4 linked regions of the Mus musculus genome follow. The protein of the gene in region 1 interacts with the protein of each later gene in a pairwise test. Links are inferred from orthologs where the notes say so. Each region holds a gene or a part of one and is shown in the gene's direction. Other genes may lie near its edges.

The links.
Region 2: the proteins of Creb3l1 (region 1) and Tspo interact in binary tests that used the Homo sapiens proteins (3 or more experiments, as listed by UniProt). The two-hybrid records come from large-scale screens. The link is inferred for Mus musculus from reciprocal best matches to the Homo sapiens genes CREB3L1 and TSPO.
Region 3: the proteins of Creb3l1 (region 1) and Tmem11 interact in binary tests that used the Homo sapiens proteins (3 or more experiments, as listed by UniProt). The two-hybrid records come from large-scale screens. The link is inferred for Mus musculus from reciprocal best matches to the Homo sapiens genes CREB3L1 and TMEM11.
Region 4: the proteins of Creb3l1 (region 1) and Fxyd3 interact in binary tests that used the Homo sapiens proteins (3 or more experiments, as listed by UniProt). The two-hybrid records come from large-scale screens. The link is inferred for Mus musculus from reciprocal best matches to the Homo sapiens genes CREB3L1 and FXYD3.

What each region holds. Positions count from the first base shown.
Region 1 is NC_000068.7:92,020,284-92,026,049, reverse strand, and holds the start of Creb3l1 (cyclic AMP-responsive element-binding protein 3-like protein 1), read left to right. Parts: upstream 1-1,879; 5' UTR 1,880-1,944; coding exon 1,945-2,046; intron 2,047-5,766.
Region 2 is NC_000081.6:83,561,587-83,567,607, forward strand, and holds the start of Tspo (translocator protein), read left to right. Parts: upstream 1-1,986; 5' UTR 1,987-2,058; intron 2,059-6,021. UniProt on the Homo sapiens protein: Can bind protoporphyrin IX and may play a role in the transport of porphyrins and heme. Promotes the transport of cholesterol across mitochondrial membranes and may play a role in lipid metabolism, but its precise physiological role is controversial.
Region 3 is NC_000077.6:60,875,004-60,880,753, reverse strand, and holds the start of Tmem11 (transmembrane protein 11, mitochondrial), read left to right. Parts: upstream 1-1,715; 5' UTR 1,716-1,985; coding exon 1,986-2,041; intron 2,042-4,706; exon of another isoform or gene 4,707-4,980; coding exon of another isoform or gene 4,981-4,994; intron 4,995-5,750. UniProt on the Homo sapiens protein: Plays a role in mitochondrial morphogenesis.
Region 4 is NC_000073.6:31,072,663-31,078,662, reverse strand, and holds the start of Fxyd3 (FXYD domain-containing ion transport regulator 3 precursor), read left to right. Parts: upstream 1-1,965; 5' UTR 1,966-2,042; intron 2,043-5,027; 5' UTR 5,028-5,041; coding exon 5,042-5,081; intron 5,082-6,000. UniProt on the Homo sapiens protein: Associates with and regulates the activity of the sodium/potassium-transporting ATPase (NKA) which transports Na(+) out of the cell and K(+) into the cell.

The sequences.
Region 1 (5,766 bases):
GTCCAGCAAGGTCATGGTCAACTGTGCAAACAAAGGCTGAAAGGCATGGAACTGGTGCTGAGCACCTGTGCCCGGAGTCTGTGCAGGGATGGCGAGTGCTCCCATCTGGGCCTTCCAGGAAGGCTTCCCAGGGGAGGAGACACAGAAGCCAAGAGTGAGAGAGCTCAGTGATAAAGACTAAATAAAGAAGCTGCAAGTCAAGAACTGAGATGTGGCTCAATTGGCCGAGAGGCAGAAGGCCCCAGGTGTGATCTCCAGCACTACCAAAAGCTGGGTGTGATGCCAGGCAGCAGTGCATGACTTTAATCTCAGCACTCCGGAGGCAGAGGCAGGTTGATCTCTGTGAGTCTGAGATCAGCCTGGTCTACAGAGCGAGTTCCAGGACAGTGAGGGCTAACTACACAGAGAAATCTGTCTCAAAAAACGAATAGATAATTGATAGATAGATAGATAGATAGATAGCAACAAAAACACTACATGAGACCCTGCCCCTCCCCATGTGAACACATACACACACACATACACACACACACACACACACACACACACACACACACACACACCATTGTGGAAAGGTATTTTCTGAGTCTGGAAGAACAGACTCTTGCGTCATCTCCCCAACCCAGGGAGGATAGAATTCCCTGACTTTGGTTTAATCCAGGGTTTAATATCAAACTGAAAAAAGCCTGACACTGTGGTGCACCTGACTGAAGCAAGGGGGAAACTAAGTTTGAGGGCAACTTGGTCTACAGAGAGTGTTCCAGGCCAGCCGGACCTACATAGACACCCTATTTAAAAAAAAAAAAAAAAAAAAAAGGAGAGAGAGAGAGAGAAGATGAAGAAGAAGAAGAAGAAGAAGAAGAAGGAAGAGGAGGAGGAGGAAGAAGAAGGGGAGGAGGAGGAGGAAGAAGGGGGAGGAGGAGGAGGAGGAGGAGGAGGAGGAGAAGAAGAAAGAAGAAAGAAGAAGAAGAAGAAGAAGAAGGAAGAGGAGGAGGAGGAAGAAGAAGGGGGAGGAGGAGGAGGAAGAAGGGGGAGAAGGAGGAGGAGGAGGAGGAGGAGGAGAAGAAGAAAGAAGAAAGAAGAAGAAGAAGAAGAAGAAGAAGAAGAAGAAGAAGAAGAAGAAGAAGAAGAAGAAGAAGAAGGAAGAAGAAGAAGAAGAAGAAGAAGAAGAAGAAGAAGAAGAAGAAGAAGAAGAAGAAGAAGAAGAAGAAGAAGAAGAAGGAGAATTAGGCGAATTTGGCTTCCTAGTCAGTCCTCAGTTTACAGAATCGTGGCTTGTAAAGCCATCACAAGCCGTCCAGGTTTCACGAAGCCTACAGTTTCCAGGATAATTTTGCCTTTATCCCCCTTATTTGAGCACTCAGAGAGCTGAGCCAGCCAAGGAAACCTAACAGACACACGTCTCTTTAAAGGAGAGGCGACGAAGCCCCAGCCACGCCCTCTACTCATTAATATTGAGTTATCGTGAATATTGATGTGGGGGCGTGGCGCCCGGGCCAGCTGGGTTAACCAGCCCCGGGTTCCCAGTTTCAGACTCCGGAAAGTGACAGAAGCCGCGCAGAGGAAGAGACCCAGAGAGATCTCTGCGACTCGGCAGCCACCCATCCTCGGGGGAGCATTGAGCTCCCCCGCCCCTGGCTCCCGCCCGGCCTGGGGGGCTCCTCCAGCATCGGCCCCACCCCCGGGCTCCCCATGGAAGCCAGCTGCGCCCCGGGAGGAGCAGGAGGAGGAGTCGGCTGAAAGCCCACGGTGCTTTCGGCGCCGCTGCCCTAAGGCCCCCCAGCGCCCCCGACCCGCGCCACCCCCACCGCTCCTCCCCCGGGGCTCGCCCGGACCTGCCCCCCGGGCCGCCTGCCCGCGCCCAGCCGCAGCCCGGTGCGGGGTTCGCCGCCGCCCTGGAGTGAGGAAAGCGCAGCCCGAAGGGGTCCCCTGGAACCCGGCGCGATGGACGCCGTCTTGGAACCTTTCCCGGCCGACAGGCTGTTCCCGGGATCCAGCTTCCTGGACTTGGGAGACCTGAATGAGTCGGATTTCCTCAACAATGCGGTAAGAACGAAAGGGTCTCGGTTCCCCTTTGCACACAACTCTCACCCCTCTCCGCAGAGCGCCTGGAACCCTGCAAAGACCCGCAAGAGCCAAGGAGGGGGTTCAGCACAGGGTCCCTTGGATGGACACGTGCTAGGGTTTTAAGATGGGGCAACTAGTTCCTTGGACGCCCCTCTTAGACCAGGAGCCTAGAGAGTAGGCTCGCAGCTCTCGCCCCACACCACTCCTGGGGACTCAATCCAAGAACACGTTGGCCTCTGGCTTCTAGAGGAAGGGGACAAGGAGGCGTAAGGGGCCTCTGAATCTCGACATGAACTAACGAGACACCAATCCTCACCCCAAACCCCACAGCCCGCGCGCGGCATAGTCAGCCATAGTCTTCCATCCGCCCTCCACCCACCCCAAGGTTCTGGAACCAGACTGGGCGCAAAGTAGAGGAGCTCTTTCCTGCGCCCTCTTTAGGGCCTCGGTGGCTCTGGGGCTGTATCTCCGCCTGGGGGCGCACAGGGGTGCTTTCCCAGGCCAGACGCCCGAAGCTTCTAGGGGGTCAGAGGCAGACCCAGATACAGAGCCAGACCCAGAAACTGAAGAACCCTGCTCTGGCCTCCCTCCCGGGAAGGCAGTAGGGGGTGGTGGGACAGGGAAGCACCGGGTGACGTCTCAGAAGACCCTTTTTTTTTCCTATCAGTCTCTTGGCCACTGTACTTCTTGTCCCTAAGTTCCCTGTGGTTCTGCTAACTTTGTCTCTCCCTGTGGCTTCATGACTGCTCCTAGCTGTGAAGTTATCCTCCTTCTCACTCCTTTCCCCTTCTTTTCTAAGGAAACGTGGCTCTCTCTTATTTCCTTTCACTCTCTTTCACTCGGGCTCAGCCCTAAGACTTGATGGAGGAGGAGCATGGCTGACAGACAGATACACACACACACACACACACACACACGCACACGCACACGCACACGCGGTGGGGGGGGGGGGGGGCAGGATTCAGGGGCTCATCCTGAAGAAACGTGGGCTGTTTGGAGAATCTTCTGGGAACCCACCCCCACCATGGAATGAGCCACATTTGCACACCCCTCCACCCCACACACACCAGAGACCAAACACATGGCTCCCCACCTGTTTGTCTCTACCTCTTGCTCTAACAAAACTTAAGCAGACAAAGGCCTTAGATGTCATTGAGTGTCCTGCTCAGCTTGATTTCGCGTCTCCATCAGTTAGGGAGTCATGGGGTGACAGATCTCCCAGGCATTCTCAAGCAGCATGTCCCGGCCTTGCTGTCTGAGGGAGGTTGTTCAAGTCTTAGTCTTCTACATCAGATGGAAGGAACTAGGAGAGATGCTTAGTCTTAGGAGAAGTGGCAACACCCTCATCCTGCCTCTGTTTCCCTTGTGAGCCTGGGCCATGCGTGTCTCTCTTTCCCCCTCAGGCCTCCATTACCTGATCTGTAAAATGGAGGGAAACCGGGCCAGTGCTTCCTAAGGATGGTTCTAGATGCTTCCCAGGAGTAAAACAACAGCTTCCTGAGGGACCACATAGCCCTCTTGGAGCAGGTAAAAGATTCTGCTCAGAGGGAAAGAGGTTTGTTGGGGCCCAGGCTCCAGGGACAGTGCAGCTGGGGACCGACTGAGCTGGGCTTTCTTCTCAATGAACGCTGCAGCCTGCTCTGCTCTGTAGCTGCTCTTCTGGCCTTGCTCCAGTGCAGGAAAGAATTCCTGATGCGCAGTGGGACACCAGAAGGGAATGGCCAGCTGGGGCCACAGCCCTCATCTGGACCAGGGTTGGATAGTCATGGCGAAGAGGTTTCCAGGAGGAGAGGGCTCCTCTCCTGGCTAGAACATGGAAATTCTACATCTGCCTCTGCTTCTGCCACCAGCTAATGGAGCTGTTCACATAGACTTATGCTCTTCAGGGCTTTGATTCCCTTATCTGTAATGGGAGAGCATCTTTCCCTGTAGCATTATTGTAAGGACTTGGTTAGAAGATTAACATAGCCAGGTGGTGGTAGCACACACTTTTAATCCCAGCACTGGGGAGGCAGAGGCAGGGGGATTTCTAAGTTCGAGGCTAGCCTGGTCTACAGAGTGAGTTCCAGGACAGCCAGGGTTACACAGAGAAACCCTGTCTTGAAAAACCCCCCAAAATTAATTAATTAATTAATTAATTAATTAACATAAAGATGATGTAGATTAAGGCCTGCCAAGGAAGAGACCTGACTTCTTCCATGCACTGAATGAAGGAGACAAAACGCTCAGCTGGGAGTTGCTGGGTGACTTTGAGTGAGTCCTGTTCCTTCCCTGGGTCTTCAGGATAGGAAGGATGTGTCTACTTGGAAGATGGAAATTTGTGTCTTCAGTGTCCTTAAAAATCCCTAATGTGGGCCATTAAAGCTACATGGGGACTCCATGTGCCCCACCCCACCCCCACTGCACTAAAACCAAAAAGGGAAAGCCAGTTTCTCCTGGCTGTAACTGAGAAGACAGAACCCAGGGAGTCTAGCAGGCAGCCTGCAGGTAACCAGTGCTGGCCTACCTCTGAGGCCTTCTTCCTATTATTGAGATGAGTCCTATGCAACTTTAGAGGCCCCCTTAGAACAGAACAGTGGTCCTTCTCCCCAGAGGTGCAGGGCTTCTCCTCCAGCCTCTCTGTCCTCCCACAGCTCCCAAGTGACTGTTCTTCAGCTCTCTTGCAGCACCCTATGGTCCTTTCAGCCCTGTGCGTGCAATAAAGAGTCTGGACTCAGATAACTGGCATGGAAGAACAGAAAGAGAGAGGGTCTGTGCGTGTCTTATCTCTCTCCTCTGGCCAGAAGAAAGGGATATCTCTGGTTTCTCTCCAGGGAACTGACTCAGGATTCCAGAGAAACCCCAGCTGGGAGGTGTGGGAAGGAGGAAGAGGGGGAGCAGGGAGAGGGGGGTTCTGTTGTCTCAGAGGGGAGCAGCAGGAAGTTGCAAGGATGTTTGCTCAACACACCCATGTACCTCTCAGCAGCTGGGAAAGCCAGGTGTGGAGATGAGGGGACCCCAGGACTAGCCCAGAGGAGGGGTTTGGAGGGAGGTCAGGCCGATCACTGCTCCCCAGATTCCCAGCCTGACTTTTGCACTAATGCTGAAGTGGAAAGTCAACAGGCCCCCACCCCCCAGCCTTTAGAGGATCTGGGGAGATTAGAGAAGTATGTGTGTTTGGATGTGCCTGTGTGGGTGGGCTTTCTGTAGCCTTCGACAGTGTGCAGTGTGTGTGTGTGTGTGTGTGTGTGTGTGTGTGTGTGTGTGTAGTCTGACCAAAAGAAGGGCCAAGGCACGAGGAAAAAATGAATAATAATAAAAAAAAAACCTCATTGGGAAATCAAAATCTCAGAGCTCTGATTCAATAGTGAGGGCTTCTCAAACACTTGAGTTTGGAGTCCATGGTTTGCTTATTTTTACTTTTTTTTTTTCCTTCCCTGACTTTTGAGGAAACAAGTTCCTGAGAGCCAGGGGCTTCATCTGCCTCCATTATCCCAGTGCCCGACAGAACTCCGTACAAGGTGTAGGTCAACCATTGACAGATGCGTAAATGAATGAACGAGGTTCAGGTCAGACTCCAACTATGTTATGTGGTGGGGTATGCAGGTGTGTGCTCGGGTGTATGGAGGTGAGAGGACTCCCTTCTCGGAACCACCTAACTCTTGAGACTGTCTCTCCCTGGCCTGGGGCTCACTAAGTAGGCTAGACTGGCTGGCCAGC
Region 2 (6,021 bases), on another chromosome or scaffold:
GGTTCAATTCTTACAACCATCTGTTTGTTTGTTTGTTTGTTTGTTTGTTTGTTTGTTTGTTTTGAGACAGGGTTTCTCTGTGTAGCCCTGGCTGTCCTGGAACTCACTCTGTAGACCAGGGTGATGTCGAACTCAGAAATTCACCTACCTCTGCCTCCCAAGTGCTGGGATTAAAGGTGTGCGCCACCACGCCCAGCTCTCACAACCATCTCTTAACTTTAGTTCTAGGATGTCCAAGGCCCTCTTCTGACCTCTGTGGGCACCAGGCACAGACATGGTACGCATACATATATGTGGTAAGATACCCACACGTGTAAAACAAAAAATAAAAAGGTCAGGTCCTTTGATTGCTGGCTCAGTGGACTAAGTTTAAACTCACATAGGAGGCTGTGCTTGTAAAATTTCAAATCTTTGCAGCCCAAATTTACATCCACAGGCTGTAGCAAGAAGGTAGTAGCAACAACAGTCGAGTGCGCCAGAGATGTATACAGTTGCATACTGATGTCATAACACACAGCATGAGGCCGCTGGACCACAACCCACTTCCAAGGATCTGAAGGACAGAGGGACTCTGGCAAGAGCTCTAGGAGGACTAGCCAACCTAGACAAAATGAGCCACTGAGAGGGAAGATGCTTCAGTTAGTTTTCTGTTTCTATCACTGAATGACATACTGGGCCATTTATATAGAGTACAAGTTACCGTCCTCAGGGTTGTAAAGTTCAAGGTCAGAAGCTGCATCTCACAAGAGCCTCCTTGCTGGTGGAGACTCTCTACAGAATCCAAGGGATGTAGGGCTTCATCTGACAAGAGGGGCCCTATCCGAGAACCTGCACTGGCTGGCTTTGATACCAGACCTACACTCAGGATAACCGATGGATCTATTCCTGAATGAATCGTGAATGGATAGGGGCCACACCGTGAATCCTTGGGACATAGTCACCTCAAGGTCCACCTGGTCCCACTTGGTTTCACCTCTTGATTCTTCACAACGGGGACTAAATTTCCACCATAGATCCCCTCCCCCAGCTCCCTCTCCCCCTTCCCGGTGACAGTCAATCCTTTGCAAATACACAATAGGACGTGAAACCTATCCAGGAGGCAGACAAGGGTACGCCAGAGGGGCGCAGAGAGACTGAAAAGCTGTAGGCACGTACAAGGCATGTAGAGCCGTTGCCGCAGGGATTGGCAAGGCTGCAGAGGTGTGCTGAGAGATGTCTCAATCAGACCGCCTTCGGCTGCTGTGCTGCTGGTTAAGAACAGGAAGCCCGGGACTGGGACGATACCTTAGTGGGTCGCATGCTCACCTTTACCTTGCAGACACCAGGATCTGAGTTTCATTTCCAGAACCTGTGTTAAAACCCTGGGTATAGTAGTACACAGTTATAATCCCAGGGCCCAGGAGGTTGAAACAGGCAGATTGGTGGGGCTCCTTGCCCAGCCAGCCTACTCTAATTGACTCACAGGAAGAGGTTGAGGGCTGCCAGCAAGTGGGTGTGGCCAGGCATAGCGCCTAGGGCCTTACTAACACAAGAGGCAGAAAGCGGTTAGTTTTGTTTTCCTTTATTTTGGGCAGTGCTGGGGATTGAAACTCAGGGGCCTTTGCGTGCACAGAAAGTACTCCACAATGGAACTATATCCCAAGTCCCTCATTAAAACAAACAAACAAATAAACAAACAAACAAAAAACACAAAATACGGATAAGATGATAGGTAGAATTCAGCCAGGCACAGTGGGGGGGGGGGGGGGAATATAATACGCAGCTCAGACTGACTGCGAGCTCACTGTCATCCTCCTGTCTCGGTGTGAAATACAAACATGTGCCACCTCTGTGGCATTCGTTGTCTGCCTGTCTGCGATGCATCTCTCCCCTCTGTGTCCAGGCCCACGATGAGGAGAGAAAAAAAGAGGGGTGCCTGGTTGAGGGCGGGCCTGGGAAGGCAGGGTGCCTCCGGGTGCGGCGCAGGGCGGGGCGGGGCGAGGCGGGGTCAGCGGCTACCAACCTCTGTGCGCAGTGTCCTTCACGGAACAACCAGCGACTGCGTGAGCGGGGCTGTGGGTACGTGAGACCCTGACGGCGGGGAGCCAAAAGGGAAACTGAGGCCAGGTCCAAGCGGGAGGGACTCCTCCCGAGGATGTGCTGCTGAGGCTGAGGGTGTTTGGCCTTTGGGGACAGCGGCCAATGTCCTGTGCCTACCTCGGTGAGGCAGGAGTTGGCTGCTGCAGCTGGAGGCAGCTGGGCGGGAAGAGGAGATAGCCTCTGGCTGCTGGGAATCCTGCTTCCCCTGCAGAGGAGTTCTGGGATCCGTGGGAAACCGAGACTATGCAAAGCCCAGGAGCCAGGATTTGAGCGGCAGCTGCCTAAGCCTGCTTTGAGATCAAAGCCTGCATGTGTGGTGTGGACGCTTCTCCTGCGTAGTGATTTGTGAACTTGGGTACTGCGTGTGTGTGCCTGGCCGTCTCAGGGCTGAGACCCGCCAGCGTCTAGAAACTCTTGATAGTGGTAGGTACCTGAGGGGTGAGGCCGACAGACAGCAGGCTTGCTTTTTAAGCTTTTCTCTGATCGGAGTTTTCGGCTTCTGTTTGTGTTCCCCTTGTTAGGGGGTTGTGCAAGCGGCGCCTTGAAAGCCAGTTTTGTTTGATAAAGTTGCCACTCCGCCACGCCATTTCCCCACACCCCAGACCTCATGGTGACCAGTTCCTGCCGGTCCTAACTGACCTGTTGCTGGCGCGATGATTACTTTCAGAATGAGAAAAGCTGGCAAAAGGTATAAGGAGGATTTGCAAGTTCGTTAAAAACAAAAAGTCCTAAAATTCCTCGGGACAGAAACGGCTTTGCTGGAAGGAAAGCTCAAGGATGGGAGGAGCTTCACGCAGTGGACGGAAGAGGGCGTGGCCGGCTCCCTTCTGTTTCTGGGTCATAGTCTCTAGGGAAGCCCCAGGGCAACAGGTACCCCAGGCCCATTGGCTCTGACCTAGCTTCACAGATAGCAGCCTAGGAGAAGGAGGGCTCAGGCATCCTTTCTGGCTGTCCTACTAAGAGGTGGGGCCCGAAGCTCTATGGAGTGATGGTGCTAAGTATGGAGAGGGCGATGCTGTTGGCCTGTGTCCATCAGACACTGAGAAGAGAGACAGCCTGTGGACCTGATCCTTGCCCAGGGCATTGTATCCCAAGGGAAGGTGACCGAGAGTGGCCGAGTGTCATTGTGGATGTAGAGATACCAACCTGGAATGTTCTACAGTTTCCCCATCAGTTTCTTTCTTTCTTTCTTTCTTTCTTTCCTTTCTTTCCTTCTTTTTTTTTTAAAGATTTATTTATTTATTATATGTAAGTACACTGTAGCTGTCTTCAAACACCAGAAGAGGGCATCCGATCTCATTACAGATGGTTGTGAGCCACTGTATGGTTGCTGGGATTTGAACTCAGGACATCTGGAAGAGCAGTCAGTGCTCTTAACCCCTGAGCCATCTCTCCAGCCCCATATCAGTTTCTTTACCTGGAAGGTGACACTAGCAATAAACCCTTTCTGGGGACTGTGGATCAAAGAGAGGTGGCTGACCCCTGCCCTGTGGCTGCTGTGGGGAGTACATGAAGGTTTGACTGAGTGAGTGAGTGCCTTTGAGTAAGGCTTGGCTCCTTTACTGAGGCCCTGGGGTGGTGACCATCGAGAAGGCCTACTACCATACTCTCCTCTGTCTAGTCCTTATTCTTCTGTCCAAGATGCTCTCTGGAAATGAAAAGGTAGCCATCTCCTCCTCCCCTAGAGGAAGCAGCTGAGTGGTCCCTGAACTGATAGTCACAACCCTGGGTGGAGTTTTCCAGGGAGGTCTTGGTGTTCTGTCCTTCCTTCCTGGAACACCCCAAGGACCCTGAGCAAGCTGGTGACAGGGTGAAGCTTAGGATGTTACATGTCTTCTAGAAGAGACCGAAATAAAGGGTGAGTGGGTGGCTTTGCCCCTCTGAGTATCTCCGTCCTGCACTCTATACTATCCTGGGATTCCACCCTGAGCTGATCTCCTGCCCAGCTCAGTCTAGCCGAGGGGTGACTCAGCTTTATGGGCCCCACCCCTGCCTGTCTACCACCCCTCTGTGTGGGTGACTCAGGAACTGGGCAGTCTCCAAGAAGTCCCTGGAAGGTCCCTGGCCCAACTTTCTCCTTCAGTTTCAAGTGGGGTGGTGACTGTCCTGTTTTGTGACTTTGGATGGAAATAGGGGGCCCTCCCTTTGATCCCCTTAGTGAAGCAGAGCATAAAGATAGTCTTGCCTTCCAGGGCGGCTAGAGGGTGGGAGTAGAAACCTGGGGTCCAGTGTCCTGTCCCTAGATCCTGTCCTTATGGTATGTCTTTGGGACAGCCACCACACTATAATGGGAGACTTGATGGACTCTGAAACATTGGTTGGTCCTGTTTAAGAACTTCCCAGACACAGAGAATGCCCCCCTTGCTCCCACCCCTGGCGCATAGCTGTCATGAGAGCACTTTCTCCTTCAAAGCCATGGCAAGAGGGAAGAGGTACTACTGTGGGGCGTAAGGCTGGCAAACCTCTAAGGCAGGGAGGGTTCCCAGGAAGGAAGCCAGCCACACACAGGCTCTGACCCGCTAGGGAGTGTTCAGGAAAGGCAGCTTCTGAGGGACCTAAGGGACTTGCTGGTCATGAGGAAGGGCAGGGCTGGGTTGGCACAAGAAACAAGTGCCCAGTAGGCATTGGTTTCTTTGTGGGAAATGCACACGTTTGGAACTTGGTGTCAATGGCTGGGGAGACAGCAACATCATTGACTTGTGTGATTGCTACTTTACGTTTGGGGACTTTCAGCTAAATTACTAAAACCTGTTGTCTGCAGTGGTGGTGCTTGCCCGGGAGGCTGAAGTAAGAGGACGACTATCAGTTTGAGGCTGGTCTGGGCTACATGGTGAATATCTTTGTGCCCCTATTAAGAGAGGAGAGCCAGGCAGTGGTGGCACATGCCTTTAATCCCAGCACTTGGGAGGCAGAGGCAGGTGGATTTCTGAGTTCAAGGCCAGCCTGGACTACAGAGTGAATTGAGAGAGAGAGAGAGAAGAGGCTGGCTAGAGAGAGATGGCTCAGCAGTTAAGAGCATTGACTGCTCTTCCAGGGGTGCTGAGTTCAGTTCCCAGCAAACACATGATAGTTCACAACCATTTGTAATGGGATCCGATGCCCTCTTCTGGTGTGTCTGAAGACAGCAACAGTGTACTCATATACATAAAATAAATAAATAAATCTTAGAGGAAGGAGGGGAGAGAGAGGGGAGGACAGAAGGGGAAGGAGAGGGGAAGGGGGAGGGGGAGGGGGGAGGGGGGAAGGGAGGAGGGAGCAATAGTATAAACCAGGCTGTAGCAGTGCAGGCCTGCAGGTCTGTAATCTGAGCCCTCAGGAGCTGGGAGGCTGAAGTAGGATGGTCATGCATTCAAGGCTTAGCCTGGGCTATGGAGTTCCAGGCTAGCTTGGAACAAACAAACAACAACAAAACCAACTGAAAACACTAACAGGTGTCCCCAGGCCATGGAACAGGAGTGGTACTGTGAAGGGGACTTGGCAAGGTGGAGCAGTGACCTTAAGTAGGGACACTACTTCTCCCTCCTTCTTTTCCTCCTAAGTCCCTCTGTGCATCCCATGTTGGTATCCCATGCTTGCAGTCCTCCTGCCTTGGGGCCCCAGTGCTGAGGGATTACAAGATGTGCTACAGTGCTGGGCGGGGCAGTGCAGTTTCTTGTCTAAACTTTGGAAAATGCAGAAATGCAGAATAAATGGCCCACAGGCTCCATTAACCTCCCCCTCTTCTCAGCGAGCTTCTCAGAAAACAGAAGTGGTCCCCTAGGCTGCTTCTCATACTCGCAGGTACTCCCCTCATTCAGCATCTCATTACCCCAGGTACTCTTCTCTATTCAGCTTCTCATTCTCCAGGAACACCCCTCATTCAGCTTCTCACTCCCCCAGGTACTCCCCCCATTCAGCTTCTCATTCCCCAAGTACTCCCCCCATTCAGCTTCTCATTCATTC
Region 3 (5,750 bases), on another chromosome or scaffold:
CCGGTGACTCACCTTCAACAATAAAAGCCAGACCTCCTCATTCTTCCTAAACAGTACAATTGGGAATCAAACATTTAAATATATGCGCCTATGGGGACCGTTATTAAAACCACCGCAGACTATGACCTGAAGTGTAGGCCAAATAAATCCTCTTCTCCCTTAAGTGGCTTGTGTATTTTTATCACAGCAACAAGAAATAAATCTAAGACAGGGACATAGATCCCCGGTGGGATCCACCATGTCTCTGACTTGGCACCAGAACACTAGATCCTTGAGGACTCCCAGTAAAGGCAGACCCTCCTGGCTAGCTGCTTCCCAGCTTAAATGTGGGCTTGGCAGTCCCTGGTCAGTACACATTGTTTTTTGCTCATACTGCAGTAGGGCTGAGAAAAGGGTTCAGACATCCCCTAGGCAGTGGCTATAGGGTAATGGGAAAGAGAACACGCCCCTGCACCTTTTTTGTTTTGTTTTGTTTTGTTTGTTTGTTTGAGACAGGGTTTCTCTGTAGCCGTGGCTGTCCTGGAACTCACTCTGTAGACCAGGCTGGCCTCGAACTCAGAAATCCACCTGCCTCTGCCTCCCAAGTGCTGGGATTAAAGGCGTGCGCCACCACTGCCCGTCACCCCTGCACTTTTATCAGGTTCCTAAAGAGCTGAGAGCTTTCTCACAGATGTTCCTGGGTAGTAGAGTGTAGTTAAGGAAGGGGGAAATGGGAGAGAAAACATAGATTTTTACCTCCTGGCTGAGTCACAGGGACCACCTACATAAGTTCCTAGGTTCTTGTGTCTCAGGACAAAGAATTGTATCAGAGATGCATAGTTAGCAATAGAGGCAATTTACTTAAAAAAAAAAAATTTACAAAGACACTCAGGTAGGGAATGGGCTAGTGATCTGGAAGAATGCATAACCTGAAGTCCTTAGCCATTACCTGCCTTCTCCAGGCCAAGTTTTTCTCTTGCATGCTGTTTGTTATTGAGTAATCCAGGCAAGGAAGGGATCCCAGGCACTATCAACTGGCATTGATTGATTGATTGATTGTGTCTGGGTGTTTTGTGCACTACACGTGTGCTGTGGTCGTAAGGCCAGAAGAGGGCGTCAGACGTTACTGCAATAGCTGACTGTTGTTAGCTACCACGTGCCAGAAACTGATCCACAGTCCCCTGAAAGAGCCGTTAGTGCTCTTAAGTACTGAACAATCTCCGCAGCCCCCTCATACCTTATTCTTGACGTCTCTCTACACATCCCTATTCTTTTGCCACACTTGCATGTGTTACGAGTTTGGCAATCGGAGGCGGAGTTGCATATTCAATTTGAAAACCAGGAACTTTATAGAAACCAGACAAGCATAAAACCTGACTGGGAGGAAAAGGCGTTTTAGGGCAAGCACATCTACAGACCTTCAAAATCTCTGGATTTGTCAGCCGGGCAAGTTCCGGTCAGGAGAGGGGGGCAGTTGACGCCGCGGAGGCAGAGGTAACCTTCGGACTGAAGGTGCACGAGTTCTGGTCTGCAGATGGGAAAGGAGAAAGGTTAAGCTGCTCAAGTCATTGTAAAGTGTGAGAACTGGGGGACTCAGGCCCCCAGCGGCCGAAGCCACGGTGAAGGGCAACAGGGCCGAGGCCAAGGGTTGGGCCTCTCAGGCTGTGAGGGCGGGATCGTCGCGCGAAGCGCTCTGGGAGTGGTAGGCGCTTTCTTTCCGCTCTCCTTCAGCCACTCGTTCTGGGAGCCCAAGGACGTCCAGGCGGTGGGCGCAGCGACTCGCACTTTGCGACTTGAAGACTCTTTCCTAAGGCGGATCCCACCCCCTCGCCCTCTTGCGCGCGGCAGCTTACAGCAGGCTTCCGGCGTGAGGTATTGTGGGCAGTGTAGTCCTTCTCGCAACCTCCCACCTCGTCCGCGCGGCTCACGGGACTACGTTTCCCTTCGGCTCCCGCGCGCCCTGAGCCGCGTCGGCTCCAGCCCCCGACGAACCGAGAGTCTCCAAGATGGCCGCGTGGGGAAGGAGGCGTCTGGGTCCGGGCGGCGGCGGCTCCCGAGAGAGGTAAGCTGGGCTCGCGACCGCGGGCGAAGGTCGACCGCAGAGCCGGCGAAGCCTCTGTGCCACGCGCGACTCCGGATCGTGTGCCCGCCACGCGCGGGGCCCAGTCCGCGGGGGCTTAGGTGTGGGAGGAGCGGGGCGGCGCGACGGCCAGGAGCGAGGGGAGCGCGACTCGGAGGGGCGGCGACCCGCAGCCGGGTGGGCGGTGAGCCAGGGTGAGTAGCTGCGAGGGCCGCCACGCTGTCCTACCGAGCGTCCTGTGGGCTCCGGGCCGCTGGCTCGCGCACGTGGCCCGCTCGGCCTGGGCGCCCGGTGTGGCGTGGATGGGCTCCGGGGAGAGGAGGAGGGTAGAGGCTCGCGGCGCCGTGTGCTTTATAGGGGCGTTTGCTGAGAGCGGCAGCGTGCCGGGCGCGCCTCCAAGAGCCTGAGCCTGGCCGCCTTGTGAGCGAGCAATCGTCGCCACTTTTTGAGGGTTCTCTTCGAGCACTTCTGCCCTAAGTCCTTTGTAGTGACCTTTCCTACTGAATGCGTTTGGGGGCGCTAGGGGTTTTGTTTCTTCCAGTGATTTCCGGATGACAAGAGTAGTTGACGTGTTTCGGGTTGAACTTGTAGCCTTTTCCTTCTGGGAATTATTTTTAGCTAATAGGTTACTAGAAGCTGTTCAACGATAAGAAGTTTGGGGAGGTGGGTGTATATCGGTGGCGCTACTGGATTAACCTGCCCAGTCGGTCTTGCTAAGTCCTCCGCATTTTACTGTGGATGTCAGAAAAAGGAAAAGAAAAAAAAAAAAAGCAAAGTTTGACTTTTTCCCCTCCGTTTCCAATGAGTACTGTCAACCATAAAAGTTGTGTCTCAACTAATCTGCGTTGTTCCTTTTTGACTGACGCATCCCATGTTTCTTGCTATTGCATACGACAGCTTTTCCATCCCACACTAGTCTTCCTGCTTGGCAGAAGTGGTAGCCAGTTTTACTCCTGAGTTCGGTTATGCTAAATAATCCGTTCTGCGTTTACTGTGACATGGAAAAGCAGTGGCGAGGAGTGTTTGTTTGTTTGTTTGTTTGTTTGTTTTTTCCCTAACTCCCACTTATTTCTTAGATAAGAACAGCCAGAGAGGTTATCTTGTTTTCCGAGTCCTTAAATCCCTAAGGATGCTTTCAGGATTTTAATTTCAGCCCAACAGAAGGGAAGAACTTTCCTAATATTTCTGTTTGCTTGTTTTTAGAGCCACGTGTGTAGAGTCATTAGAGTTACTGTGTAGCTCTCTCTGGCTGTTCTGAAACTCACTCTATAGACCAGGCTGGCCTTGACCTCACAGAGGCCCGCCTACCTCTGCCTCCCAAGCACTGGGAATAAAGGTTTGGGCTACTGCACCCTGCCATACTCTTGTTCTTGGACACAGACTGAAAGGGCCAAACATGCATGCCTCAAGTGTGAGACAGGAGTCTTGCTAGCCTACCTAAGAAAATGGAGAATTTTTCCTTTGTCTTGAAACAGATATTAATTAAAAGCAGTTTGTCAACCAACCGCCCATAGTTTAGTCCAGGCCTTGCTGGTTGTGCTGCAGCAGCCTTTAAGGGAGTTTAAGTCCAATGCAGACAGAACTCACTGTGAAGCTAGATAGGGAGTGGTTCTCCTCAGAGCCACTGGTGCTTGTTTCTCACTGAAGTCTTAACTAGGTAAGGTTATCGTCCTGGGTCCTGTAGGTGTTCAGGTTGTGACCTTTGCCCAGGAATTGAAGGTTCTTCCCAAACATGCAGGTGCTGTATGTCTGCCAGGGATGGGCGTCTGATTTTATGATTTGAGAGTTGCCATCTGCCCTCCTTCTGGTGCCTGGAGGTTACTCCTCTGTCGGCCTTTATGGGAAGGGCCCTTCCAGAGAGTTCATTCTCAGAACCCCATCTCCGTCAGGCCTCCCACTCTAGGCTGTGTGTGGAAACACACTCCCTCCTGACTAGCAGACTGACTTCTGGGCGCACCTCCATTGCTGCTTGGTGGCCTGACAGGATGGAGCAGACCAGAATAATGTACACTCAGCACCCATAGATTGTGAGCACCAAGTGTTGACTCTGTGACACAAGCTGTTTGTGCCTTCTAAGTGACTCTGTTCCGTGTCACATTTGGACTGACTCAAATTTCAGCTTCATGTTGAGAGAGAGCACTTCCAGAGTTCTTCACACCTTCCTGCCCCTGCCCTGTGCTGAAACCAAAGGGGATGCTGTGTGCTTTGTGGCAAGGCTGGAATGGGCAGTGCTTTGAACAGACACTGTGTTTGCCAGTGGCTGCATACTCTGGTGCATATGTTATATTTAAGGCCCCACTTTGTGCTGGTTGTCAGCTTAGTTTGCAGTGGTTCTTGCTGTGCCTGTTAAGTCCAGAAACACAGGCTAGTACTAGAGCTGAGTGACAGCAGTTCAGTAGCTGCTAGCCATGTGTGGCGATTACATTGAAGTTAAAATTAAGTACAGTGAAAAGTGTAGCTCTCAGATAGTAGACCATGTGTCTGGTGTCCAGTACTTGCTTTGGGCTAATGACTAAGCCTAGAGAGAAGTTTTTCCATCAGTAAAATAGATAGGAACAATTCTGATCTAAACTGAGATTGGAGGGGGAAAGGAGCAAACAGAGAGCTGCTTGTGTGTTGATTCTTCTCTCCACTCCATTAAATCTAGGGAAACAACAGTATTTGTAATGAAGAACGTCAAACTCTGAGCTGTAACCTGAATTCTTGTCCAAAATTGAGCATACTGACAGCAAGCACAGCAAACAGATTGCCGTTTGTCCTGCTGGCCTCTTTGAGGCACACTTATCCATCTAGGAAAGCAGAGCAGGTATCTGTGTTCTACCACCTGGGTGTCAGCCTGGACCAGCTCTCAGACAGCCCTGCTTGGCCTTTCATGGCTTACTTGGTGCTGCTCAGAGCTCCTGAGCATCTCTGAGATCTCCATGAGTGTTGGAATGTGAGTATGGCCCTGTACTCTGAGTTCCTTTTTTGATGATCTTGTAAAGATAATTGATCTGCATCTGACCATGATACAAGTATGGCTTGGGGTATTCAAGTTTCCTTCCTCAGTTCTGGGCATTTGTTAGGCAGCAAGTTGTCATGGGGTTGGTGGCCTCCACATCCTTCCCTGCCACCTTTTCTTGGAAGACCATGCCATTTGTGAATATGGGGGGACAGGGTCCCAGTGGCCATTATAGGGTTAGTACCTACTACAGCTGAACAGCCATTATTTACATTCCTGGGATGATAGACCCCCTTTCTGCTCTAAGCCTTTTAGAGCTGAGGACTCTAGGGATTTGAGGCATTTAGTATTTCAGGAGGTTCTCATTCTGGCTTTGGTATGTATGGTGGATTCTTCCTCCTGATCTGGATGGAGTGAGCAGGCCTGGGACATACAACAAAGTCTCTTGACCTATAGCCACTGGATGGGGATGAGGCATGGGGGTTCTGTCTGTTGGCTGGTGAGAGATGACAGCACTCACAGCTGAGCCACATGTTCTGCTCTCAGACATTAATGTGTAGGTTGGCCTCTGCCATGGTCCAGCCTTTGGGGTATATTTCTGTTTCCCTGGGTTTTATTCAAGCAGCCCGAGTTCCACTTGCTTTGATATCTGCTTCTATGTCAGTCCTGCAAGCTCATTTCAGTGGATCCCACCTCTGAGAAAGGCAGGGTTGACAGTGTCCATGGAGGAACAACAAATAGGCCGAGACC
Region 4 (6,000 bases), on another chromosome or scaffold:
GTGTGACTCTCTGGGGATATTTTATCCCTATACAAGTACATACACACACACACACACACACACACACACACACACACACACACTCCACTCCACACCACACCACACACAGACACTGTCTCTCTGCCACAGTGGTATCACCCCCCTCCACACATACACCTCACACACCTCACTTTGGTCCCTTATCAAGGAGACTGAAGACTGCTTACATCTAACCACAGGGTGCCACTTATCTTAGACAAGATAGTCATTCTCACACTCATCCTGCCTCACAATCTGCTCGCGATTCTCACCTGGTCCCTCTAGCATCTGGGTGCACACCCAGGAGGGATGAAGGACAGAAACCCAAGCTTTCCCACTCCCACCCCACCTAGCTCCTGCTCTCTGATGCATGTAGTTCTATGATGTCCAGCAGAGGGAGACACTCTCCTACTCTTAGGACCACCAAGGGTTTTAGATGTTTTCCCCAGAGGCAGTCGAGCTTCTGGAAGATGTGGCTAGGTACAAAGATGCCCTAAGGGGACCTGGAAGTCTCTTCCCTCCATCCCAGGCCAGACCACTGCCAGGCCTGTCCTTCCTCTGTTTGTATCTCTAGCTGTGCTTCTTGCTTTGGTACTGCCCTGAGGGAGGGCTCCGCTCCTTTATGGGAGGCAGGATGCCTTGTCCTGGCTAGGGCCTGAAGATCAGGAGCTACCAACAGGGAACACAGACTATCATAGTTAAGTGAGCTACATCAGGGAGGGAGGCCTTGGCGAGAAGTGGGGAGTCCTTTTCCTTGCCCCACAGACCCTTGGCCCTAAGTTCCCTTAAACTTTCCTCTCCACACCCACAACAGCAACCTCTCCCAAGCCTGGTGCCTCTGGGTCTCCACCCTACCGCCTTCACCATAGTGTTGGGGGTCGTCTGGAGTCCAGCTGGTGGCCGAATAGAAGCCACCCCTTTCCTGGCCCTGCCCCTCCCGGTGACCCCAATCCTCTGCCAGCCACTCAATGGTGCCTTGTTCTCCATCCAGACCCCGGACAAAAGTTCTTCTGTGTAAGGAGGAAGAATTTTGGGGGAGGGGGCACCTCCAGCAGGGACCATGTGGGAGCCTTACAGACCCCAGGCGGAAGGAGTGCCATTTGGACAGGGGGCAGGGAAGGGTGGGGGCTTGTAGAGTACAGGGAACTCATCTGCAGTAGAGGAAGACAACTTTGACATCCACATCCATGCCCACACCCACTCCGTAGATTGAACGTCCACCCGACATCTCCTCATCTCTGAGAGAAACGTTGAAAGTCAGTTCGGTTTTCAGTCTTCTGGGGCCTGGTCTATGAACCCCAAGAACCAGACCTTCCCCAACTTCTACCCACCACTTGAGTGCCTTCTTCCTATTACAACTTTGGCCTTGTCAGTGTCTTTTATTAACCCCTGCCAACAAAGAATGCAGAATGGAGAGTGGGCTTTAGTTCCCTACAAATGCCAGTGGGTGCATCCCCAAACAAAACAACAACTGGTGGTGCATGCCTTAAATCCCAGCCTGCGAGACAGAGATGGGTGACTCTCAACAAGATCAAGTCCAGCCTGGTCTGTAGTGTGAGTTCCCAGGCCAGCCAGAGCTACATAGTGAGAGCTTGTCTCAAACAAATAAAGAAAAAGCCCCACCCCCACTACAACCTAAATCAGAAACAGATTACATGTATGTTCCACGTTCTCCCACATCGTTCCAGGATGATGGGCGTCTGTCATTAAGGACCCCAGAATCTTCCCCGTTCCCAGTCTCCTTTGATGTTTGGGAGATCAGACACACCCTCTTCCCTCCAATCCTCAGCCCACCCTGGTCCCCTTCCACTTTACCTGAGGCTACTATAGTTAAAGAATGAGTAGAACTGTCTCTTTAAGGGAGGAATGGAGTGGGGGCGTCCCTCGCCTCAGGGAGACCTGACTTGTGCCTGCCTGCCCAGGTTTGCTCAGGGCGTGGCAGTGTGGATAAAGGCTGTCCCGGCTTGGCAAGTCCATACTCTGCTTTCTCCCGGAACCACCTCTCAGCCTGTTGAGCTACTCAGGTGAGTGGCCTTGGGGGCCCCTTCCTCCCTGAGCCTCTGCTCCCCCACTCTCTCTAACTCTCCTCTAACTGCACCTATTACATAGAAACTGGGGTTAAAGACCCCTAAAACTTTCCTGCTTAAAGATTCTTTTATGGGGACAGGAGACTACCCGCCTCTGTCAGCTGATTGTCCCAGATGGCTCACCTCTGTGGGACTGGATTATACAACTGGGGGGACTCACCTGATATTCATAGACGGATTGGGGAAGCCTGGGGGAGGTCTGAGAAGATGAGAAGTCTGGGTTTACCTGAGGTATCTGAGGTGTCAGGGTGTACAGGAAGTGACTACATCGTAATATCGTGATTGAGGGTTTCTCAGTGGATGAGAGTAGAGGGGTGTCTAGGGGTAACTAAGTAGATGAAGAGTAATTTAAGTGCCCTGGGGGGAGGAAGCAGATGGAGGTGTGTGTCTGAGCGGCCAGGTATTATTAGGGCACAAGGAAGATAGATGAACACCAGGAGAGAGAAGTCTGATCCAGGGAAGCTGTAAAGCGGGACTTGGTTAGGAGATGGGGACTCAGATGACAAGGGTGTATGCATCCTACCCTGCAGATATGACCATCCACCGTCCTGGAGTAGGGGAAAACACGGAAGCTGCCCTCTGACTAGCACAGGCAGGAAGCAGATGAGGGGTGCTTAGTGTCCCAGCAAGGCTGGTTCTCTCTGTGCTGGCTCCCACTCTGGTTCACTCAGAGATTGTGGTCCTTTGGGGTCTTGGAAGAGTCTGGAGAGAGAAGTGTAAGAGGTGAGATTCAGCAGCCATATTGATAGAGCACACAGCGTTAGGATGAATTCCCATGTGATGGCTGTGTGGGATAAGAACAGTGTCAGCTTCATCAAGCTGAAAAGACAGTATGAGGGAGTCAGGCTGGAACTGAGAAAAATGGCCGCATAGGCTGGGCACTCAGCTGCAACCCATGCATGTGTGACAGAGTATCAGGGGGCAGCCTTAGACCACAAGCATCCATAGCTGAGACCCCTAACCACTACTGGAGCTCCCCAAAGCTTGCTGGGGCCCTAGACATCTGAGAAATAGTCCCCAAATCAACTACAAGAAATATATGTCTAATCTAAACAAATGGGTCCAGGGTATGTGTGTGCATGGTATGTGTGTGTGTGTGTGTGTGTGTGTGTGTGTGTGTGTGTGTGTGAGTGATAAGTGTTAATTAAGTCCAGGGCCTGAAGAGCAGGCTAAGCAAGCCTCCATTGCTAGCCCCTCTCTGAGGGATTCTAAGCAGTGGCTCTACCACTGAGCCACGCCCCCAGCCTCTCACAGGGGGATTCTAGGCAGGGGCTCTACCACTGAGCCACGCCCCCAGCCTCTCATAGGGGGATTCTAAGCAGGTACTCTACCACTGAGCCACACCTCCAGCCCTTCACTGGGGGATTCTAGGCAGGGGCTCTACCACTGAGCTGTATCTTATATCCTTTTTTTTAAAAAAAAAAAAAAACTTTTTATTTTGTGACAATATCTCACTAAATTGTTCAGTCTGTCCTTGCACTTAGTCGTATCCCAGGCTGGCTTGGAAGTAGAATTTCTCCTGCCTCGGCTTCCCTAGTTACTTGAATGGCAAACCTGTAGCATTGATTTAGATTACTAAAGAAGCTGAAGGATTTCTCGGCCTCTGGGATTGGTCCCAGAGAAATGGCAACGTCTGTGTGAGCATGTGGGACTCCCCTGCACCATCGGTGACTGGTGGCTCCATTCCCAAGTATGTGCTTTGGTGTGAATGAAAAAAGGTTAGTTCTGAAGGGTGACATTGGGGCTGCTGGGGATTAAAGAGAGGAGTCACTGTAAAGTCACTGGACAGTGTCCAGCAGGTGGGGAGCCGGGATGAGTGTTTGTGTGTGTGTGTGTGTGTGTGTGTGTGTGTGTGTGTATGTGTGTGTACACGTGCTTACGAGCTCAGGACAGTTGAGCAGGGCAAGCAGGGGAGGTTCACAGGCAGCAGGACTTTTATTACAGGCCTCCAGGGTGATAGAAAGACAGATGGTCACAGCCAGGGCTGTATGGAAAGGGCTCTGTGCTAAGCCTCACTGGAGAACCTGTAGTGTTTGCTGTCAAGAGGGCTGGGGGGAGGAGTAAGCAGGGGCTGAGCAGAGTGAGGGCTAGGGTAGGGGGCAATAACTGGAGTAGAGTTGGGACTGCAGAGAACGCTCAGTGGGGTCTCAAGGGACAGACCCAGGGGTGGGGCAGAAGACAGAGGTCCCTCTGGACATATCCCACCAGCTTGACATTATTTCCCTCATACACGCACCCAGCAGCCCAGGGGGTCAGCTCAGGCCTCAGCTAGAAGCCTGCAGTGTGTGGGCAGAGCCTGGCAGGCTCCAAGCTGTCTGTGCGAGCCACTCCCAGAACCCGGGCCTCCTGCCACCTGGCTCCTGGCACCCTCTTCCCCAAAACACCCCGGGGCCCTCACAGTTCTGAGTTATGAACAGCTAGTTGGGAAAGAGGCATTGTTTAAATTCTGCTTTCTGGATCAAGTCATCCAGGGCATCAACTTTCTTGTATCAGAGCCTCAGTTTTCCCATCTGTAAGATGGGGCTAACAAGCTGGATTTGATGGTGCACACCTATAATCCTAGCCCTTGGAGACCTGAGGCAGGGGGTGGCAAATTCAAGGCCATCTTAGACATAGCAAAACACTGTTCTACCTCCTCTCTCAAGGAAAAAAATCCATTCACAGTAAAACCTAATATCACTGCCAGGAAAATGGCCTCTTTGCACATAGGACCTGTTCCTTCATGGAACCTGAATGCTCACCCAGCCCCCACTTGACTTTGGGGCTTCTTATCTTCCTGCCCAGTGAGCTTCAGGTTCACTGCCAGTCTTCCTGTGTGTACCCTGGGCTGTGTTCCTGGTGAGCAACAGGTGAGACAGAGGTACAAAGCCTTACATCCTGGTCACCCTGCTGAGGTTAGGCCTGTTTTCTGGACTCCTCTAGGTCAAGGCTTTGACATGCAAGAGGTTGTTCTGAGCCTGTTGGTCCTTCTAGCAGGTGAGTATCTGGCCCCCAAACTGCCTTTTCTCAGAGCCTCTCAACGGGCAGACTCTCTCTCCCCCCCCCCCTCTCTCTCTCCCTCCCTGCTTTCTCTCTTCATCCACTGGGGAAATGCCATTTAATCATCAGTGACAACAAGCAAAAGGCTCAGTCCAGTACTGTTGTGCTGTGTGTCACACCCTCCCTACACTGCCATCCCACAAGCAACCAGGAGGCTAGCAGTGATGGAGCAGGTAACCTGAGTACCCTGTGCCTCAGTTTCTCCATCTGTGAAAACACAGAGAAGAATGTCACTTAGTCATAGGGGCTTTGTGAGCCCTAAATGAGTTAATGTTTGACCAGGGCCTGGGTGGAGCAGGCTCCAAGCGTGTGTGCCTAAGAATTAAGCATTGTTTTTCTCCCATTAGCAGAACTCAGGCCCGGAATGAAGCCAGATGAGCTTTCAGCCAGAATTGAGTTCTTCCTCCTTGCTATTGGCATGCTTTTCTCCTTCCTCACCTGCTCTGCCTCTTCTTTGCATGTGTATGACTGTGTGTGTTCATGTGTGTGCATGCATGTGCGTGTTTATTCATGTGGCAGCCAAGGACACCTTTGGGTGTCATACCTGAGGAGCAAGCCACCTTTAAAAAAAATTACTTATGGATATGATGGTTTTGCTTACTTGTCTGTGCTTGGTAACTGTGGAAGCCAGAAGGGGGCATCAGAACCCATGCAACTGGAGTTAGAGATGGTTGTGAACCATTTTGTGGGTGCTGCAGACTGAACCTGGCTCCTCTGCAAGAGCAGTCATTGCTCTTAACCACTCAGCCACCTCTCTCCGGCAGCCCCCACCCTTTTAGATCACTTTTTACTTTACTATTCTTTGGGCACAAGTAGTCTTCTGTTTGGGAAAGGGACGTGGGACTGCTCTCAAGTT